Drosophila melanogaster: one gene and its partners. The protein of the gene in region 2 interacts with the protein of the main gene of each other region in a pairwise test. Each region holds a gene or a part of one and is shown on either strand. Other genes may lie near its edges.

The links.
Region 1: the proteins of BtbVII (region 2) and CG8478 interact in a two-hybrid assay, tested with the Drosophila melanogaster proteins (one large-scale study listed by BioGRID).
Region 3: the proteins of BtbVII (region 2) and Odj interact in a two-hybrid assay, tested with the Drosophila melanogaster proteins (one large-scale study listed by BioGRID).
Region 4: the proteins of BtbVII (region 2) and net interact in a two-hybrid assay, tested with the Drosophila melanogaster proteins (one large-scale study listed by BioGRID).

Annotation. Positions count from the first base shown.
Region 1 is NT_033777.3:9,761,845-9,766,635, reverse strand, and holds CG8478 (uncharacterized protein), read right to left. Parts: upstream 2,883-4,791; 5' UTR 2,734-2,882; coding exon 2,701-2,733; intron 2,611-2,700; coding exon 2,010-2,610; intron 1,956-2,009; coding exon 1,089-1,955; intron 1,028-1,088; coding exon 798-1,027; 3' UTR 501-797; downstream 1-500. Other genes in the region: MED6 (mediator complex subunit 6), read left to right, coding at 1-195; Snap24 (Synaptosomal-associated protein 24kDa), read left to right, coding at 3,787-4,425.
Region 2 is NT_037436.4:3,146,959-3,151,678, reverse strand, and holds the start of BtbVII (BTB-protein-VII), read right to left. Parts: upstream 3,034-4,720; 5' UTR 2,992-3,033; intron 2,980-2,991; exon of another isoform or gene 2,942-2,979; intron 2,778-2,941; exon of another isoform or gene 2,758-2,777; intron 2,547-2,757; exon of another isoform or gene 2,519-2,546; intron 2,052-2,518; 5' UTR 1,697-2,051; coding exon 1,526-1,696; intron 1,465-1,525; coding exon 837-1,464; coding exon of another isoform or gene 822-836; intron 752-821; coding exon 507-751; coding exon of another isoform or gene 495-506; intron 416-494; coding exon 307-415; intron 1-306. Other genes in the region: Usp5 (ubiquitin specific protease 5), read left to right, coding at 3,634-4,147, 4,209-4,720.
Region 3 is NT_033777.3:17,806,903-17,810,939, forward strand, and holds Odj (oddjob), read right to left. Parts: upstream 2,321-4,037; 5' UTR 2,216-2,320; coding exon 2,099-2,215; intron 2,045-2,098; coding exon 1,314-2,044; intron 1,254-1,313; coding exon 1,134-1,253; intron 1,077-1,133; coding exon 752-1,076; 3' UTR 505-751; downstream 1-504. Other genes in the region: CG17801 (uncharacterized protein), read right to left, coding at 45-167; Alg1 (ALG1, chitobiosyldiphosphodolichol beta-mannosyltransferase), read right to left, coding at 2,678-2,897, 2,956-3,516, 3,578-4,037.
Region 4 is NT_033779.5:81,887-89,289, reverse strand, and holds net (net), read left to right. Parts: upstream 1-1,902; 5' UTR 1,903-2,197; coding exon 2,198-2,270; intron 2,271-5,012; coding exon 5,013-6,022; 3' UTR 6,023-6,869; downstream 6,870-7,403.

The DNA of each region.
Region 1 (4,791 bases), on a different chromosome or scaffold from region 2:
CTGCTGGCAGAGCTTTTGCGTAAATTTCCCCCACCAATACCGCCCATGCTGCAGAATCTCCAGCAGCCGCCACCAGCGGGCGATGATCTGAACACAGCGAGAAATGCCTCCGAAATGAACAATGCCACAGGACCGCTAGATATCAAAACCGAGGGTGTGGACATGAAGCCACCGCCCGAAAAGAAGAGCAAGTGATTATGTGAATGCAGGTGCACCCTCAAAAAACGTACATACATATTAGTCCGAGTCCTTTGGCAGCTGCATAAAAGGCGCTGAATGCTGCCTGCATTTCCACTGGCCAAACCAACGCTCAGCGAAAAGCAGCGAAATCTACTTTTGCTAGTACTGCCAACTATTTTTTTTTAAAGTGGCTCTAACTAGTGACCATTTAAATATTCAAATTTTAAAACGCAATTTTTGTTCCGTGAGAAAACAATTAAGAACAACAATCAATAACCTTAACAAAAAAAAAAAGAAAACACAAAATTCAAAACTAAAATAGTTTTTAGTAACCTAGAATATAATGTAATTACTGTCATTTAGACTACGATAGTTATTTTTGTGTGAATGTCATACGAAAACCTAAAAAATTCACAAAGCAGTCCAGTCGTGCAGCTGAAGTGTACAATTAATAAGCATTCGAGTAACCGAAACATTGAGTTAGAAGCGCTCGAAATGCCAGGCATTGCTAACTCACAGCTGCCCGGCGATCTGTTCACAACGCGCCGTTACCGGACCACAGCTACGCCACAGCACTTAACTTAGACATAGACTAGGCTACACACGAATCGCTTAATTTAATCGTGGGCACTCTGTGCATCCTCTCTGCCGGTCATCTTCTTAAGCTGGTTGTTTCCATGCACCGTCAGGCTGTGGTTTGTGAACTCGAGTATGCTCCTAAACGACTGCTTGCAGATGTGGCAGGGCACAGTCTTTGTGGGAGTGCGGTAGACGCCGGCATGCGCCACATTCTTGGGAATTTTTTTCACGCTCGGTGGAGCCATGGACTGGGTTCCTTGTGAGGGAGCTGTGAATTGGGTTTGTAATAATTTCTCTCTAAGAACGCGTGCTGTTCAATCAATAGTTACCTAATTTGGGAATAGTACTAATGCGTTGCTGTGGCTTCTGGGGCATCGTCATGGGATGGTTAATGCCACTGGTGCCACCGATCTTTGGCAGCTGGGCTTTCTTCTCGTGGTTCAGCTCGGTGAACTCCAGCTTGCGCTTCTCGGACGGCGGTATCTTGTCGCAGTTCTGCATTAAATGGATGTGCAAGGCACGTTCCAGTGCGAAATTCTTATCGCAAAACTTGCAGCGATTCTTCGAGACTCCCGCTGCAACCGGATTGCTGTTCAGACGCTTAAGGGTATTGGCTCCGTTGTCAACCGGATCGTGCATTCGCATATGCACGTCAAGAAGTGACTTCACCCGAAAGGTTGTGCTGCAATTCTTGCAGCTAAAAACTTTCTCCGGAATGCTTTTTGTCGATGTCTTAGCCGGCTTTGAGGCGATCTTCTCAGGCGAACGCACGCTGGTCACAGCGAGCGACTTTCTTATGCTGCTCTTTGTTAGCTTGGAGACGGGCAAGCAGCTGCGACGGCTTAGTGACACACCGCCACCGACACTCCGCTTGCGAGCTGGGCTGTTGAGCGTTGTCTTGACCACCACCGACATGCGCTGCTTGAAGGAGTACGTTCGCGTCTCTGCGGTGGTGGTGGGCAGATAGGAGCGCCGAGGGCGCGGTAGGGCGGCACCCGAATAAGTGGAGCTCATGGACTGCCTCTTCTTGCCCGCCTCCACTTTTAATTTGGAGGTCGCTGGCTTCACAGAATCAGCGGAGATCTTTAGAGCTTTGGCAATTAGCTCAGAGACTTCGTTCACTACCTCGTTGACATGGGCGACCTCCTTTTCGGCTCCGGCTGGCGAGACCAGCATGGATACTCCTTCGTTGGATACTGTAAATGTAGATGTTTATAGAACGAAACCATATCTCAATAGTATAAACCTACCTTCAGTTATATTCTCTAAAACTACGTTCGCACTCAAGGGATAGACTTGGCTGGGAGCTGGGGTCTTGGCAGCCTCCTGCAAGGATACATTGTCCATGGTAGCATCCCCTGTTTTTAGGGTATTGGCCTTAACCGTATTGGCGGTCACGTCCACTGAACTGGACAAGGTCGAGTTATCGCCGCCACACCCCTCCGGTTGTGTGTTTTCCTTGTCGTCAATTTGGGTCAGATCTATGCTCTCCATGATCTGTGGTGTCTGCGTTTCGGTCGAAATATTGCCCTTGGAGGGAGTGGAGCACAAGGCGTTGTGCCGGTTAAGAATACTTTTGTCAAATGGGCGCAGAGGAGAATTCTGGTCCGGTTCCCCAATGGTCAACTGATGCAGATCCTTTAGGATAGTGCGCCTTAGGTCCTTATCATCGGTGTTTACCTCCACCTTGCTGTTGTGCACCTCCAGGAACTGGCTGTTCTGGGTGACCAGGGCCGACTGCCACTTGGCATTGGACAGGGTGTCCTCCGCGTCAAAGGATAAATACATGGAGACGCTCTCATCGTTTGTCATTATCGATGAGCTACGGGAATCGATCTGCTGGAAGTGAAACTATTGTTTTAGCAATGAAAATGGGATAATGTTCGGAAGTCTTTTCCCGGCAAATGGAAGCAACACCAACTGAAACCACCAAACACTTGCCTTGCCGGCCATAGTTCTGCGCGAATCGTCCATGGTTAAGTATATGCTATTCCCAATTGGCCACGAGGAATTCCCAAATTAATAAATACAAGCAATTAAGCAAAAATTCGAGCAGCTGAAGACCGACGCTGTACCGAAAAAACAAAGCGTTAATATTTCAAACACACTTTTCAACACTGCGCGCGCAATGAAGATAGCAACGGCGCCGATGGGAATGCGCGGCTTTAAATTATGAAAAGTATTGAAAAAACTATAAATTCTTCACTACTTTCAAATTGATGTTAACGCGTAGGAGACTTTGTAGAAATAAATCTAATTTTTTCGGCACACGACGAATTGAAAGGTTACAGTGACTAGATGGGAAATATTTTTGAAAACATAAAATAATTGTGTTTTATCAGACTCGAACAGGGTTCATGTCTTAGATAAAAGTGTAATATCAGACTGGATTATTAGTTTATGCATGGTAAATCGACTTTTAAACTCAGATTTAATAGTAAAATGTAAGAAAGCCCTCTTTCGTAAATAGTTTGCAGCTTGTTTTGCTTAATTTCTTTAATTGTACTTGTTGCGAACTAAGCCTAAATGCAATATTAAACTTTTAAACTCAGATTTAATAGTAAAACGTAAGCAAGCCCTGTTTCGTAAATAGTTTGCAGCTTGTTTTGCATAATTTCTTTAATTGTACTTGTTGCGAACTAAGCCTAAATGCAATATTAAACAGTGTGAACACACGTAAAAATCGCCTATCGAAAACGACATCGATACTAACATCGATTTTTTTGCAGCTCTAGTATACAAATTGGCGAATTGTTGTGTGGTGTGAAAATTCATACTTTCGCAAATAAATTATTAAACCTTGGCAATAAGTTCCTACGTACGGAGCACAAACGAGCTCATCCCCGCCCCAATTACATATCCACCGAGTTCACACACCGAACCAGCACCAAGGGTAGTTTTTCATCTCGCGCGAGTGAGTCACTGGCCAGATTTCCCCACCCAAAAAAAAAACAAGACAGCCGTCTTGCCTCTCAACCACTTGCCAAGCTCAAGTTCAAGTGATCTCACCAGATAGATAGTTCCGAAATGGCCGCCGTGGAGAATGCCGAGCCGCGCACTGAGCTCCAGGAGCTGCAGTTCAAGTCCGGACAGGTGGCCGATGAATCCCTGGAGAGCACGCGTCGGATGCTCGCCCTCATGGACGAAAGCAAGGAGGCTGGAATCCGCACGCTGGTGGCCCTGGATGACCAGGGCGAGCAGTTGGACCGCATTGAGGAGGGCATGGACCGGATCAACGCGGACATGAGGGAGGCGGAGAAGAACTTGAGTGGCATGGAAAAGTGCTGTGGCATCTGTGTGCTGCCGTGGAAGAAGGTGAACATCAAGGACGACGGTGAGAGCGCCTGGAAGGCCAATGACGATGGCAAAATCGTGGCCAGCCAGCCGCAAAGGGTCATTGATGAGCGGGAACGCGGCGGCATGGGTGCACCACCGCAGTCCGGCTATGTGGCCAGGATCACGAACGATGCGCGTGAGGATGAGATGGACGAGAATCTCGGGCAGGTGAACTCGATGCTGGGCAACCTGCGCAACATGGCCCTGGACATGGGCTCCGAGCTGGAGAACCAAAACAAACAGGTTGATCGCATCAATGCCAAGGGCGATGCCAACAACATTCGCATGGACGGCGTGAACAAGCGCGCCAACAATCTGCTCAAGAGTTAAATATGCACAACGGCCACGTCCCGAAACCATAGCGAACATGTTAGTCAGACACCACCTCCATTTCAATGTTGTTAGGGAAAGAAACCAATGTTGTGGGCACAAACCGTAGCTGGTGGTATTGCGTTATTGATACCATATATTATACACATATACAAGTAGTGGCAACTACTCCTGGCAAACGCAAGCGTAACAAACCCATCTACTTACAAGAACTTTAAGCCGCCGAGCCGGATGAACTAACTACTACTTTCTAAAACTATATATATATATATATATATATATATATATATATATATATATATATATATATATATATATATATACATATATGCGAACCAACATACTAACTACTTACTATTACTACAC
Region 2 (4,720 bases):
CAAATGATACCAACATTGTAAAGCTATGTTCTTTCAGTCATGCTCGTTTCAAAAAAGTCAAGTCATTTCTGATCTATACACGTTTTCCCTCTTGACTCCTGCTTAGTCTATAGTGTGTCAGCTTTCTTTTGACTACGAATTGCAGTTAAGTTGTCCGTGATTTGTGTTTTTTAAAGTAATCAAGGCAAACAAAACTAAGAAACGATAAAAAAAAAGAATCCAACCTGGCGAATGAGATCCCTACCCGATGAACAATGAGCTTTGATGGAACAGTGTGCTGGCTTTTGATTTCCAATTGCGACTTACCCGAGTGCGAGGACTGGGAGTTCGGCGCATCGTGCTCGGATGGTGTGGTACCGCCGGAGATGTCCAAGGGCATCGTTTGGTTCACGCCGCCAATGTCGACTTCGGGCTTCTGCACGTGGGCACCGAGAAGAAAAAGAAAACAATTAGTGACTTTGCTCATGCGGACGAGGGTACAAGGTTAACGTGACCAATTTCATTACAATTTGCATGTGTAAGTGTCCGTGTCCATCGTCAAGATCCGAGTCCTGCGGCTGCTGCTCTAGCTCAGCGCTGGCCGACTCCTTGAGCAGCTTAGCCGCGTGCAGTGAGTGGCCGGCCAAGCCGCCGCCCGCACCAAATGTCATCTGGTTCATCTGGGCGAGACTGAGACCGGCGTTGCCGGCACCACTGCCCGCGTCCAGTGAGCTGTTGTGCTGCTCCTCCGCGTTGTTGCGATCGCCAGAACCTGCGTTATTACGAAAACCGGTTATTTTTTGAGACCTTACAATTTTGGATCTATCACGACGATGCTTTACCCAACTCCAACTCACCGTTATTCGAGGATTTGCGCAAGCGCTTGCGCCTGGTGGCCGGCGAGGTTCCAGCGCTCAAAGGCGACGGCGTACGTCGCATCTGGTGGTGATGCGTCTGCGCCGCCTGCGCCTGTCCGCTCTGCTGCTGCTGATGGTGGTGGTGATGGTGCTGCTGCTGTTGTTGCTGCTGCTGCGCCTGTTGTTGTTGCTGCTGCAACTGCTGCTGCTGCTGGTGGTGATGGTGCTGCTGCTGTGCCTGTTGCTGGGCCTGCTGTTGCTGCTGCTGCTGGAACTGTTGGGCCTCGCTGCTGCTCCACAGGGAGTCGCCGACGCTGCTTCCACTGCCGGCTCCCAGGCTGCCAGCCGAGTTGCCCGCTCCAGTGCCCACTCCCGCACCGCCCACCATCTCGGTGCCGTCGGTGGAGGACTTGCTATCCGACTTGGTAAGATTGGCCGGATCCGTTGGCATCTCCGCTAGGCCTTTGATCTTGAGCATCTCGGCGGTCTTGAGGATGTGCGGCAGCTGCTCCTGCGACACATTTACCTCGCCGTAGTACATAAAGTCCACCATGGTCTTTAGGTCATCGTACTGCACGTCCTTCAGGATGACAATGGGATGTTGGCACGGATTTGTGGTGAACAAAGCCTGTCGAACACATTTGAGTGTAATTCGTAAGGGATATACGCTGCGGCGATCTCCAACTTACCTGAAAGTACGAGCTGCAGGCGGATAGCACTATTTTGTGGGCCTGTAGTTGGCGACCCTCGGCTGCCAGGGTGACGTCCACCAGGGTGCCATTGTGCAGCAGCGAGGAGCACACGGAGATGAAGTTCGGCTGGTGGTTGTTCCACCGCAGGCAGAACTGCTGCACGGACATGATGTCGAGGGGTCCGGATCCGCGTCCGGGATGCGGATTTGGAGCTCCCTAAACCTCAATCTCCGGAGCAACCTCCTCCTCCTGCTCCCGCTCCTCCGCCTCCTGCTTCTTTCCTTCTTCGTAGCCAATTAATTCGCACTGATAACACTTTTTATCGCCTCCCGCTCGCCTCTATTGATTTTTATTAATTTTCCTTGCTTTCCGGTGTTTTGTTCGCTTTACTTTTTCGCTCCGACTTTTAATCAATTTAAATTTATGAACAATCGCAGTCTGTACATGTGTGTGTGCGTGTGGGGGGTCGGGATCACGGTTTTTTGGGGGGCGACGACTTCTATGCCGCACGCATCGCGAGTCACTGCAAAAAGGGGTAATAAAAATGGGGTTTAAATAAATCAAACATTATCGATGGTTACACAAATTGCTCAACAACAAATTCCACTCTCTCGCTTTCTTCCTCTCTCTCTCTCATCTGCTTTTCACAGCTGCGCGCTCTTCTCGCTTACAATAAAAAATCAAACAGAAACAACAACATCGGCGGGACTGCGTGTGTATGTAATTATACAGTCGCGAAAATGAAACACAACACACACACACACTGGAACACAACAGCCATACTTGTTGTTGTTGCTGCTCACTGGCCAAAGTTTTATTTTTGATAAAACCGAGAACGTAACGAAATCGTATAGCTTTTTGTATAGCCGCAGTGCTGTAGACCTTGAATTTTCTTTAATTCTTATGACGTAATTATATACGCGCCCCGCGCTCCTCCATCTCTTTCGCACTTAATCGCCTTCCCCATTCCCGTCTTCCTCACTCTCTCACCCACACAGACGACCGCCGACGACGTACTAATCGCTGCTTCTTCGTTTATTCATCGTATCGATATTTTCAGTTTTCAGTGTTTCAGTCGTATTTATTTATGTGCATGTCGCGCGTTATTTTCGTATGTCTTTTAGAGGCACAAAGATGATGCTCGAACTAGCCAAGCCGCCACATGTTATTCACTCGCTTTTCCCCCCACAGAATTCCTTTTCCTCTTGCTTTTTATCGCTTTTACAAACTTTGACTTTTTGTGGTAGGTTTTTGCTGTTGTATTTCTTCTTTTTCTTTTGCTTTCCAAAAACAAAATGGCGCGCAACAAATTTATGCGAGGGGCAAAACAACGCCGAAAACTGTTAGAGCGAGCTGAATTTCAATGCCTTTGACTGGCTCACTCTTTGCGCCAACTTTTTTACCACTTTTTACATTATTTTAATGCGGATTTCCTGGCGAAAAACGCATATGAAAATTCTTACGTTTTACTTCTTTATGCGAAAGATTTTTGTGACTATATGGCAACTTTGTATACAACGAGTTGACAGGTCGCTTAATAGTGTGACCAGTCCTAGATCAAAACTAGTATCCCAATTGTTAAAGATTGTCCCAAATTTTAAAATAATTTGTTTATTGTATTTAAATGGTTAACATTTGAATTGTTGTTTTAAAATGTTGACTTCGGTTATACATCTGATGAATCACAATCGGCGTTGCCACACTTTCCCCGCATTGTTCGTACTTAACGGAACCAGTTCGGTTCCCTTGGTGACTCGCGAATTTGTTGTTGGCTTTGGCTAGAGATGACAGTATTGAATAAACAACGATAGCCTGCAGCAGTCAAATTAAACTAATTGTGCTTATTGGGCGGCCAAATACGTAAATATCACTCAAAAGCCGTTATAAGGTACAAAAATAAGGGTAAGAATTGTTAAAAGCTGATTTCAACCAGTAAAACACCATTTCAACCCATCGATATTCGCATATCCATGCTCGCCGGTATCGATGCATTTTCCCATGTTCATCTCTAAGCAGCAGCTGCAAAAAAAATCAACTATACTATTTTACATTCGGTCCGTAAAGTTTATGAGAAAAGAGCTGCCTACAGGATTCCAGATACCGTTATGGAGGAACTACGCAAGCATTTATCCAAGGTGAACGTGCCATGCGCATCCGGGGCGGGCAGTCCTCCCATCTACAAGGACGAGTGCGTCTACTCCTATGACAATCCCGAGACGCCCACCGGTTTGTACGTGTGCCTGCACAGCTTTTTGGGCTTCGGCGAGGCGTATGTGCGGGAGTATGCCGACAAGACCGGCAACCGGGTCTTCCTCCACATCCAGCGGGTGAAGACGATCAAGGAGGGCGCCGACATGGAGGCCGAATGCGCGGAGTCGGAGGCAGGACCGGAACGGAAGATCACCCGCCTGGCCATTGGCGTCGAGGGCGGCTACAACGAGTCGGACATGGCCAAGAAGTACGAGATCAAGGACACGTACAGCATCGTGGTGGCTCCGCACCTGGATAAGAAGCTGCCCTATCCGGATCCAGAGCTGCCCATGCGTGTCACCCAGTCGGTGGAAGCGATCCTGGCCGCCGACTCGGCAATTGCCAAGTTGGAGAAGGCCACGCTGATGGGTGAGTTGCAGGATTGTTATCCCATGCTGACGAAGGTAGCCTAAAATCAATAATTTTTCAGGCACCTGGGATGGTGAAGTGCGTCAGGCGTCGAAGTACGCAGATAACCTGCAGCAGCTGGATAATGGCAAGAGGATTCCCCCATCCGGCTGGCAGTGCGAGAAGTGCGACTTGACCAACAACCTCTGGCTTAATCTGACCGATGGTTCGATCATGTGCGGACGCAAGTTCTTTGACGGCAGTGGCGGCAACGATCACGCCGTGGAGCACTACAGAGTAACGGGTTTCCCGCTGGCGGTGAAACTGGGCACCATCACCGCTGATGGCAAGTCGGATGTGTTCTCCTACCCGGAGGATGAAATGGTACTCGATCCACACTTAGAGCGCCATCTCTCCCACTTTGGCATCAACATGGCGGCGATGAAGAAGAGCGAGAAGTCGATGGTGGAGCTAGAGTTGGACATTAACCAGCGCATCGGCGAGTGGACGGCGCTTACGGAGAGCGAAAGTGAGCTGCAGCCTGTTGCTGGTCCTGGATACACTGGCATGCGCAATCTGGGCAACTCCTGCTAC
Region 3 (4,037 bases), on a different chromosome or scaffold from region 2:
AAATGGGTTATGCCATTCACGCACACAAGAAACCATCAACATACCCATATTCCAGTGAGATCCTTGATCTTGGCCAGAACTTCCAGGCAAAAAATTATCGTGGGATTCAGGTGACAGAAACACGAGGCGCACAAATGGCATTGCGAAGGCTTTTTCATTTCAAACATATGATCATTTATCCCGCTGAATTCCCAAAACAATCAGCTGTAGTTTAATTGATTTTATGTTGTCAATTATGGAATAAAAACGGTAAAAGAGCGTACGCAATCCGAGAATTTCTGTTTACTCTCTCTAAGCAGCAAAATTTGTATGAATTACCTGTTTCATGGCGTTACCAGATAGGTGTGGAAAAACTAACTGTTCTTATTTCCTAGAAACCAGGGAACATCGAGCTAGTTTTTATAATTTAAAATTTATATATTATAAACGGGAGGTTAAATTTTCCCAAAAAGAGAGGTTCAAGCTAAAACACACGTTCGGCTAATTCCTGACGTTTTTGAAATTGGTTCCATATAATTTTTATTAAAATAAGCGCGCTGTGCAATTAGAATAAAATATATTTTATAACAAATTGTAATCTAAGACCGACGTTGAATTCCTTCCACACTGGTGCTAATCGTACGGCTGGCTGGTGATTCAAAGGATTTCTCTGAACCACCGAAAAAGTCAGATAGTTTGCATCCCTGGCATTGTGGCGTGTGGAGTGTGGAGTGTGTGGCGCCAACAGTCGATTTTTTTTGTGTGCTTAAAGTTAGGTGTACAGCTCCTCTCCATCGGGAATGGCTTCCTCGTACTCGAAGTCCTCAAAATTTGCGTCCTCATCCTGAAGTACCTCGTGGTCCTCATATTGTTCCTCGTCAATGTTATCTAACATTACGTCCAGTTCAGCCTGGTTGTCCTCCATTTCTGCCTGCCCCTCTTCCATATATCCCGGAAACTCCGCCGGATCGACTTCAGACTGGAATTCCTCTTTTGGACCATTAACCAGCAAGTTGACCCGCTTGCGGTGATACTTTGTGGAGTAGTGCCGATGCAAAAACTGCGCCTCCTTGAACTCCTTGTTGCATGTGAGGCAGCTGTGAAAGAATATGAGTTTGTACATCTATGGCTACGTATATTTCAATGATTCTTACATATGGACATCCGGTTGGTCACTCTTGTGCCCCTCCTCGTGCTTCAGCCGTCCCTTCTCGCTGTTGAATCGTTTGCCGCATATTTTGCACGGGTGCACCAGCTCGTTGGCATGCATTTGACTGTCAAGGTTTTTATGGTTTATATAGATAAGGACTTGTGATGATTAGGCCAGCACTCACCGTTCATGACGACAGCGGCTGGGACTATTGGCGAATCCCATACCGCAGAACTTGCAGACGTACGGTTTCTCGCCCTTGTGATGGACTCGAATGTGCAATCGGAGCAGTGGCATGGTGTAGAACTTGCGACCGCACTCGTCGCATGAAAACTTCTCCTCGAAGTGCCGCAGCTTGTGATCCTTCATGTTGCTGTGATCGTTGAACGACCAACCGCACTGGTCGCACACGTATCGCTTTATCGAGCGATCGACCTTGGGTTTTGGTCGCCGCTTTCTGGGCTTTCGGACGTGCTCCCGCGGAGGTGGCGGTGGACTATCTGCCTTCTCGACCACAGGCACACGAAGCCGCTTGACCCTGACTCGTGGGGACTGTCTGTTCGGGAAATTTTGGTCCTCGATCCGGATTTTTTTGGCCGGAGGATATCTTAAAATCGGCTTTTCGTCCTCCAAGAAATCCTTATCATCATCCATTAAATCCTTATCATCGTCCAGTAGCTCCTTATCGTCCTCGGTGTCTACTGTATCATCCAGCACCTCCCGTTTCAGCAGCGGATCACTAAGCACTGGCGAAACCTCCGGGGAGCCTTTTGAGGCGACACCCGCCTTCGAGGAGATCCTCTGGTGGAGATTTGCGTGCGTCTCCAGGCATCGCTGCCTGAAGGCTACGGCTTGGGTCAGGTCCAGGAGACAACAAGCGCATATGTGCTGGGGCAGCATATTCTCTAAAACGATCTGGAAATGCATAGATTATGAATAATTCCGGACAACAAATAAAAGGGACGCCACCTCTAAGCCCGTGATTTGCTCGATGGCCATCCGAATGCGATGATTGCGCTTCTCGAAGATGTTCTTTGGGTGCGGCGTGAAGATGCGCTCGCCGCAGATCCGACACTCGGTGCTCATTCTTTCGAAACTAAATAAAATTGATTAATTTTAATTACAAATTATAGTAATTTTTGCGCAGCCGGTTTGGTTTTGAAGTGTGACCGTTGTCCGCAACTAGAGGTGTCAAACATTGATGTTTTTAAAATTTTCCGATATATCGATGTTTATTTCAGACTATCGATATTGGTGTTCAAATAAAAAAAAATCGGCACTGCATCCCGTGAATTTTCTTTTTTAATTGAAATACATAATACTCCTAAGAAAACACGCTTTACAAGCGAATAAATAGTTGTATATATCTCCTTTTTTTAGCAATTTATTTTTATCTTTAGGCTACGATTATAAAAATAAAATAAGCATCATAAGCAAGTTTGAAGCTCTTTTGTGTACAGAATTTGTAGTAACTAGCCTAGAAAAAGCGATTAGCAATCAAAGGAAGTCTCTCATAACGTGTAATTGTCAAATCTTTGTCAAAATGCTCTATAGAAATGCCTCCAGTACGGGGGCCGCGATCAGGCGCCAACTCTCCCGCCATCGCAGCTCCTGGAACTCCTGGATTTTGCGCTGAAAACCAGCTCTTGTCTCCAGGATGCTGGGATTCTTTGGAAAATTTTCGAACCAAATCCTCAGCTGCTCGGCCAGCTGAACATGGTCGCCAAACACGAAGCCATTCTCGCCGTGCTTCACCAGCTCATCCAGGCTAAAGAGCCATTTGTAGAAGTTAGTAAGTAATAATAGTAAATGGCAGGATTAGTTACCACTTGAAATCGTAGGCGCAGACAGGCAGCCCGCTGCCGAACATGTCGACCACCTTCATGGGCAGGTCGAGCCCACTGGTGCTCCAGTGCAGACACACGCCCAGGTCGGCGCTGGCCAGAACAGTGGGGTAGTCCTCGATCTCTAGCCAGGGCGTGATCACCGACACCTTCTGCCATTGCAGCTTCTCGATCTCCGCCACATAGTGCTCCTTTTGTGGCCCCTTTCCGGTGATGATACACAGCAGGGAAGGATAAACCAACGGCTCTGCTTGCGCAGTCTCCTCGTAAGCTTGCAAAGCCTTAAGCAGTATACCGAAGTCCTCGTCCGGCGTCCAACTGGTGCTGGAAACCAGCACGGCTTGTCGCTGTGGTCTGTACTGCACAACACCGCTGGCCAGCTTTTGGGTAAGAGCGGTGGCCTCCAGAACATCGGATTGTTCGGCGTCCTTGGCCTGGAACTGTGGGTAGTCTTTGGCCAGCTTCAGGTACAGCTCGTGCTTGTGAGTCAAGTCGATGGGATGGAATTGCGCGGGCGCACGATCATACAGAACTTTGACAGGCCTGAAAGATGAGTCGCGGCTGAGTTATTTACTTCGTTTAGATGGATGTGATGAGGACTTACCCAATGCCCCAGTTTTGCTGCAGATCCTCTTGCATGGCCCGCGTCACACAGAAGTGTGTGTGTGCCTTGGAGCCGAAGTATCGCTCCAGTCGCCTAACCAATCGTATTAGAGGACTCTGCTCTCCCTTCGACATTCCCAATGCCAGCACTGTGTACGTGTAGTTGTGCCAATCGATGGCCAGCTTGGTTCGTGTGACCGCACAGTACAGATAGCACACAATCAGCGTGGGAATGCCGGGCGGATTCTGGACGAGTAGGAAGCTGGGACGGCCAATGGAGATGAGAGCCATCAGCAGACTGAGCGTCTGCCAAAAGGCCTTGAAGAGCAGGCGCAGTTTGGGTGTTAGGTTCGTCACTGGGACGGCAGTTAGCTCGTGGATTCGGCAACGTGGATGTTGAGTCAGTTCCTCCAGCGGCCTCGTCTCCAGATACCCAATCATGTCCACGTGGTAGTTCTCCT
Region 4 (7,403 bases), on a different chromosome or scaffold from region 2:
ACAGGTAGAAATACCTATATGTGTATGTGCGCATGTACAAATGCATATGTGTTTTCAGGTATCGAATCGATATCCATTTTAATTAAATATATATTGCTATTTTTATTTCGGTAAGTTCTTTTTCAGAAGCCAAATCAGTGTAACTCGATTTGTGCATGTTCGTCAACACCATGTTGTCCGCAAAATACTTCTTCTGACTTGATCTTTGGTGAAAAGCACATATCTACATATGTAGAAGCCAAACTGACTTCATGTACTTAGAGCCCGTCCTCATACAGAAGCCAAATCAGTAACCGCAACTTTACCTAATTTTAAAAAAAATCTTTGCAAATGATTCCGAAGTAATTCTAGCTGGGGCGTACGGAAAAAATGGTTTACTTTTAAAGGAACAGATCAAATTTCGCCGACACGTACACGAACCATTTTTGGAAGTCCAGCATTCTTATCCTTGAACTTCCAGCTTGACAAAGGCTTGATCGCGACCTAAACGGCGGTAGCGGAGGACTGCTCAGGTTGCTACACTGGAGATTGTGAAGTCTGGGGTCTGTCCAATCGAAGAAAACAGGTTAGGCCGCAGCCCAATCGCATACTTTAAAAGCAGAACAAGTCTCTAAAAAAACGAAAGTCATCATTCAAAAAGCATTTCGCGCGACAGACTCAAACTCGTGCCCAGTGTACATCTGCTAAGGATATCAGACAAAAAGACGAAAAGAACCCTAATGATATTAGGGAACTGGCTCTTGCATTCATTCCAGCGGCAAGTTTTTTGTTGTGCGGCGTTCGAAAGAATGATCAGCAAATTTAAACTTTTTCCTAGAACTGATCTTTTTTTTATCCAAAACGTAAGGAGGTATTCATCCTGACTTAAATAAATTTCCAAATACAAGCATATACATATATACATACATAAATATAAAAGAAGCCATGATAATCCAACTTACAAAATTATGACGAGTTCTGTTTAAAAAAATACATACGTATCAAATAAAATATTTGTAAACTATCTAAGAAACTGACCATTCTATGCCTAAAAATCGAACAGCTTGTGCAATACTAAAATTAAATGTTGACATTATTAAGACCGTTGCTTTTACTTTCTTCGCCAGTGCCATCCGCAGATGAAATACATACTAATACATATTTTATCACGTATGCACAAATGAAATTGACGCTGGTATATGCGTTGTGTCCAGCAGCAATGTTGCAAGAAGAATAAACTGTTTTAATAAAGTCCTGATTATGATAGAGGCTTTAACAGCCTTATAAGTCAAACTTTGCAAAATGGAGAGCAGCCGAAATTAATTAATCTTACCTAATTCAATGGCATTTAAGATCTTTTTCTGTCCAAAATATTGAATGTATATTCATCCCGATAAGTTTACAAAAAGTCAAAAGACATTTTGTCATTGAAACATAAGTAAGGCCGCAGAAAAGTAATACTTGCAATCAATAAGTTGAATACAAATTTTTTCTAGTCGCAAATCTCAAGCGAGCGAATATTTTCATTCATAAAACTAATAATGTGGTAGTCAAACATGTTCGACAGCGAACCGATCCAGCGGTTCGTACCACAGTGCTGGCAGGTCTTTCTGCCTAATATTTCTGGTGCCAATAAGTTCAGAGGCCTAGCAAACTTAGCTGTTCAAAATTTTGCTTTAAAGTATTTATATATTTCTTGTAAAGATAAATACTTTATTTCTTATTAAGCATATAATTTACTTATGGAAGAAATATATTTTCTGGCTAAGGGCGCAATTTTTTTCAAGCCATACACACATTAGGACAACGGACTCTAAAAAAACTGAATGGTCAACACTGATAACCAAACGCAGTTCGACCGCGTGCTGCTTTTAGCATGAAGCCAGCCGGTCCCTGGCGCAGGCCATTTCAATCCGCAAGATATTTTCAATCCGTCAGATACTTTCGTTGTGAACAGTCGTGCTCCGGTCAGAAGATTTTACGAGAAATCGTGAAAATAAAAAGTTCTAATAAGTTGAAGATAGTGCCAAAGCTCACATACGGCTTAACCAAACCACAAATTAAAAAAGTGCCTTTAAACAATACGTGACATTTCAATAGGTTTATGTTAACATAAAGCCCGTAATTGTGAATAAATAAAATATAAGCCCACAAAACTATTCAAATACCGTTTTCGGATACGCGCTACTTTTAAAGTTCTTGAATGTCCTTCGCGGCTATGGCGAATACCAACACAGAAAAACTTTACATGCAACTAAGCGCATCGGAATTATCAGCAATTATTATGAAAGGTGGGTATTTACCTTTTGCACGAGCAAAGGACACTGCACCTGTTGCCTGCGAATTGTGCGGCACCTGCAAATACTTACATAAATATACACACCTACATACATAGGTTTTTTATGTCTTGCAGTCGGATGATTATAATCATTTCCCGCAAAATATTTGTCGACAATAATTTGTCAAATAGCTGTATATTCATTTTTGTAATCGAAACCCAAAAAGAACGAATACAATCATTAAGGCAAGGAGGCTATGGCCCAAGGCTATGCAATAGACACTGAAGATAATTGACGACCAACATTGTTAATAGGGGGTGCTGCCGTGTGCACCCAGAAAGCCCCACCAACTAACACGTTGCAGCAGAATCATATTAGCAGCAGACTTGTGAGGATGGCAATTAAGATGCAGACAGATACGTAAATAAAGCCAACTATGTGTCGCCAGCGTACTCCAACTTTCGTCTTGTGTTGCATATGTCGGCCAAGCACTTTGCCCGCAATGGCGAATTTGGGACGACGATGTCGCCAGACATATTGGCAATTTGTCTGTTTGTGAAGCTGGAGCGACAGTTGGACTCTGCATTGTGTGTCCCTTTTCACCACCGCCTGCTGATTGTTATAATGTTCGAGGACAGACGTTAACTCCTTCCATATTGTTGGTACTGTTTACGTCAGCATTTCATAAAATCGATTTTATTTTTTGTTTCTGTGATCATTTATTTAAAATGCTAGTCTTAATCAGCAACGTTTCGAAATGATTAGTCTAGATGGCCATTGGTTTGGATAGAATAAGGTGTCTTTAATTTAAATTGATCACTATGAGTTTATAAAAATTCCACTTATATTATTTTACTACATAACGCAATGTAGTAACAGGAAAGCCGAATGATATTGGGTTCGTTTTATAACCAACGTAAAAATGTCCTTACCAAGTGTGTCAAAGTACTGCATGATCTGGATGTGTTCTTACGATTCATTCATAAAAGTGATGCGTCATTTTACTACAATATATTTCATATAGTCGCTATAACATATTTACATTTATGTACGTATGAGTATATGCACTTGTTATGATAAGACGAGGCTTCCCACACAGGGAACGCTTCCCAGTGGACCGACCGCCAGCCAAAAGCCGCCTATGATGATAACCTTTCGTTGACTTTTGGCGTGAATATGGGATTTTCTTATGCCTCTGACAGTTAATGTCTGCCGTTTTTAAGTAGGTTTTAGCTGATTTTCGCAGGAGGGCATTCATTCTTAGAAAAAAAGGCCAATAACGGGAAAACCGTTGTCAATTTCTGAGCAAAACTTGCTATTTTGTACTTGGCACCTAAAGACGGATCAGATCCATAAAAAATAAACTAATTTGGGCGTACAAAAAACATCTTAAAATATTCTTAATATAAACAATCGAGAATAATACCTTCTTCCGTGTATACTAAAAATAAAATAAAATGTGCAGGTATTGCCCTTTGGTCGTTAGATGTAACTTTAAGTGTCTGATACGGACAACTTAAATATAAATTGGTAGAAATTTATTTTTTAAAAACTTGGCAAGCTTTAAAAATGTTTCCGTTTGGCACAGGTGTTTTAAACTAGACGACGCCTGCGAGGACGGTGGCTTAAAAGTAAACATTTGTCTAAATATAAATTAAAATGCGGTATATAAACCACGCAAGACATGGGATAGAGTTAGGGCTATAAAACTGATGTTATTTGTACAGCCTGATTTCGTGGCCGCAATGTCAGTCAGTTGCTTTGAATTTCGTTTCGTTGTTTATCTGCCTAAAATTAGAAAAGATAGCAGAATATTGTGCTTATAAATAGTTGAATAAACATGCAAAAAGCTTACCTTCCGTAAATGTGTGTCCGCACCGGTTCAAACAAACAGGGAATAAATTTACTCATTCTTAGCCAACTTAGCTTAAGTAATTAATTTAAAATTAATAACAAGTAATTATTGTATGTATGATTGCTGACAAACATATACATATATATAATGGATAGGCTGATAACACAATAATTGATTACAAAAAAAATTAGCTGTTGAAGACAAAGTTTTTTTTTGCTTAAATACCGGAATACTTATAAATATCCTAGCAGATTCTATACCTTTATACTTTGCTGGCACAACCAAAGTTGAAATCGCAAACAAATTCGATCCATGTATGTATGCTCGTTTATATGCATTGTGATTTTTTTTTAAATTGCTAACCGGGTTGTTGGCTTCTGATGCAGTGGCTGCTTCATGCTGAACTTGAACTGGCTTTATTCGCCAGACTTGAAATAAATTACTTTTAACAAGTAAGCTGCGTTTCGGCACTTCAATACTTGTGGAGGTCAGTGGTAAATTAAGAAACCTGTTTTGTTTTCGTGATCAATGCATAATTTCACTTTATATAATGGACTTTCTTCTCATGTAACCTCCGATTTGAATGTATTAAATAGATTTCATAGGGTGGAAGAACATATTATAGATAAGAAAATACGTCAAAACTACGTCATCCAATTAGTTTCGATCAGATGGTAATAAAAAATAGTAACTAAAGATTTGGGATTTATTGAATTTTGAAAAGTCGAAGGGGTGTCACACAAAGGCAGTCGCAGCCCTATTCGGCTTGCTGGCCTGTTCCGCGAAAACGGGGGTTTTTTTAAATTTACGAATACGAAATGCCAAACATTAGTAACCGGTTCGGCGTAATACGTCACAGATAGAAGATAACTAACTCTTAAATTTTTTGGTATTTTTAGATTCACCCAATTCCAACGACCGTGATGCGGGTTTTTGTTCCGCCAGTTCGGAAAGCGAAGGCGGAGACGACTTGGTCGTCGAGCACGCGCGCAGTGGCAGTCCCGACATCAGACCAAAAGGAACAGACTCGGCGGACTCCAAGCCAATAGCCCTTGTCCGCAACAAACGCAAGAGTTCGGAACCCTTCAAAGTCGTAGGTTTGACGACTCCCAACTCTAAATCCATGCCTGGTCCTCCGTCCAGTGCGAGTATGAATGCAACTGGTCCGCTAAAGAAACGCATACGATACACATCTTCCGCCGATTCGGCAGTTGTCCTAACGCCACCAGCCATAGACTCTCCACCGCCCAACAGTTGCATACCTTCCACGTTGCGCCTGCAGCATGAAATAATGCCTAATCCGGCACATATATATGTTCGCCATCCGGGAGTTACGACTCTTCACAGATCGCTTGCTGCCCACCCAGAACAGCTGGAACCACTCGCATTAGTAACGACCAAAAAGCAATGTGTCGACCAAGCGGGGCCTAAAATAGAGGCCTTTTCCGCATTGCTAATTGGAAAACAGCCATCCGCCAAAAAAACGTTGAAGGAAAGGACGCAAAAAGAATCAACGTCATCTTCCTTTTTAGAAGCTAGTCTTAGCGATGAGGATCTGAACAAGACGGGATTGGCACCAATTTCGCGACCTCATCAACATCAACGCAATTACAAGAATATGACTAGGGAGCGCCGCATTGAGGCGAACGCACGTGAACGGACCCGTGTACACACCATATCCGCCGCCTACGAAACGCTCCGCCAAGCTGTTCCAGCCTATGCCAGCACTCAAAAACTTTCCAAACTCTCCGTTCTTCGGGTAGCGTGTTCCTATATACTAACCTTAAGTAGAATGGCTGGCGAGGATTACAGCGCCGATCAATCCGTACCGTCCATTGCCACGTGCTTAGAAGCTGTAACATCAACCATCCAAACGGAGGGAAAAGTGAAACGAAAGAAAGACGAGTAATCTGTCCAGTTTCGTGGATAACTTACTTTTTTAGACTTTAAATGCGACTGATTTCTGCTATTTTTTTAAATATTTGTGCTTAAGCTTAGATTAATCTGCATACAGCATTCCTATCCACATGCTTTGATTCTTTGCCAGAAGTGGCCTAATAGCTTTAAAAGTTTTCAAGGCTTTGTTAGATATACAGACTTCATGAGTTTAAAAAAAAAATTTTTAAGTATGCCTGCATACAATTTGTATTTGATATTGACATTGTTATGAATAAATACTAGCGATGTGATCATAATTTAATCTCTACCTACAGAAACATTTTAGTCAGTACAAAAAGTCAACGCCATCTATGTACGAGTGTATAAAAAGACAATAATCGGCATCCTTAAAACCTATGTAAATGACAATAATGTAAACTATATATTTACCTAAAAAAGTTTCAGTTTCTTGTTTCAAACAGGATTTTTATATCAATTTACAAGTTTTTAAAAGAAGCTTTGCCAAAATGTTGTAATTTCACCATCAACTTTAGTTACCTTAGGACTGAATATGAAAATGTATATTTTTTTACATGTACCTCTATAATAAGATCAATTCTTCTTTTACGAATTGCATACAACAGAGATAATCAGTAGTAATTAAAAATCCGTAGTTACGAAATTAAATAAAGAATTTAACAAATTTCAGTTTATGTAAGTAACTGTAGACGTTTCCTCTTCAATTGTAATCTCATTGTTTTGTATACATTGATATATTTGTACCCATGTATACATTCATAAGTGTACGTGCCATAGAATCAGGAAATACACAAAACTTACTATAAAGAGAATGTATTTTTATATAGAGTTGGGATTTCAGGTGGTCGCGGTTAAAATATTAGTCATCTGGGTGCAAGCGCACTAAAGGAAACCATATAGAAATGACGGCTTTAAGGGTTATTTTATGTCTGTACGTTAAACAATCTTATCGTTTGCAACAAGCTATTTCGTGATATTAAAAACTCAACAGGTGCGCAAAGAACGGCACGCTATCGATTTAAGTACACCTGAACGCATCCACGTTATCGTAACGAGTTTTGGCAAAACTTAGTCCCCTTATCAGGTTCGGAAATATATTTGTCAGCTTATCTAGCAGGCACAAAGTTTACCAATATCACAGTAAGTTGACAGTGCATTAGAACTCATGACGTACTCTGAAAGAACTCAACACTATTAACTATGCATATTATTAACAAAGTAACTGCATCTAGTTGACCCAGTGCAATATCCAGAACAAATTACATCAGCTAAGAATCCTATAGAAAACAGGTTAAAAACAGCAATTTCCGATCAGTACATATATAATGACTTGAGCATTGGCGTTATTCAACAAAGAGCAGGTGGGAACTAGA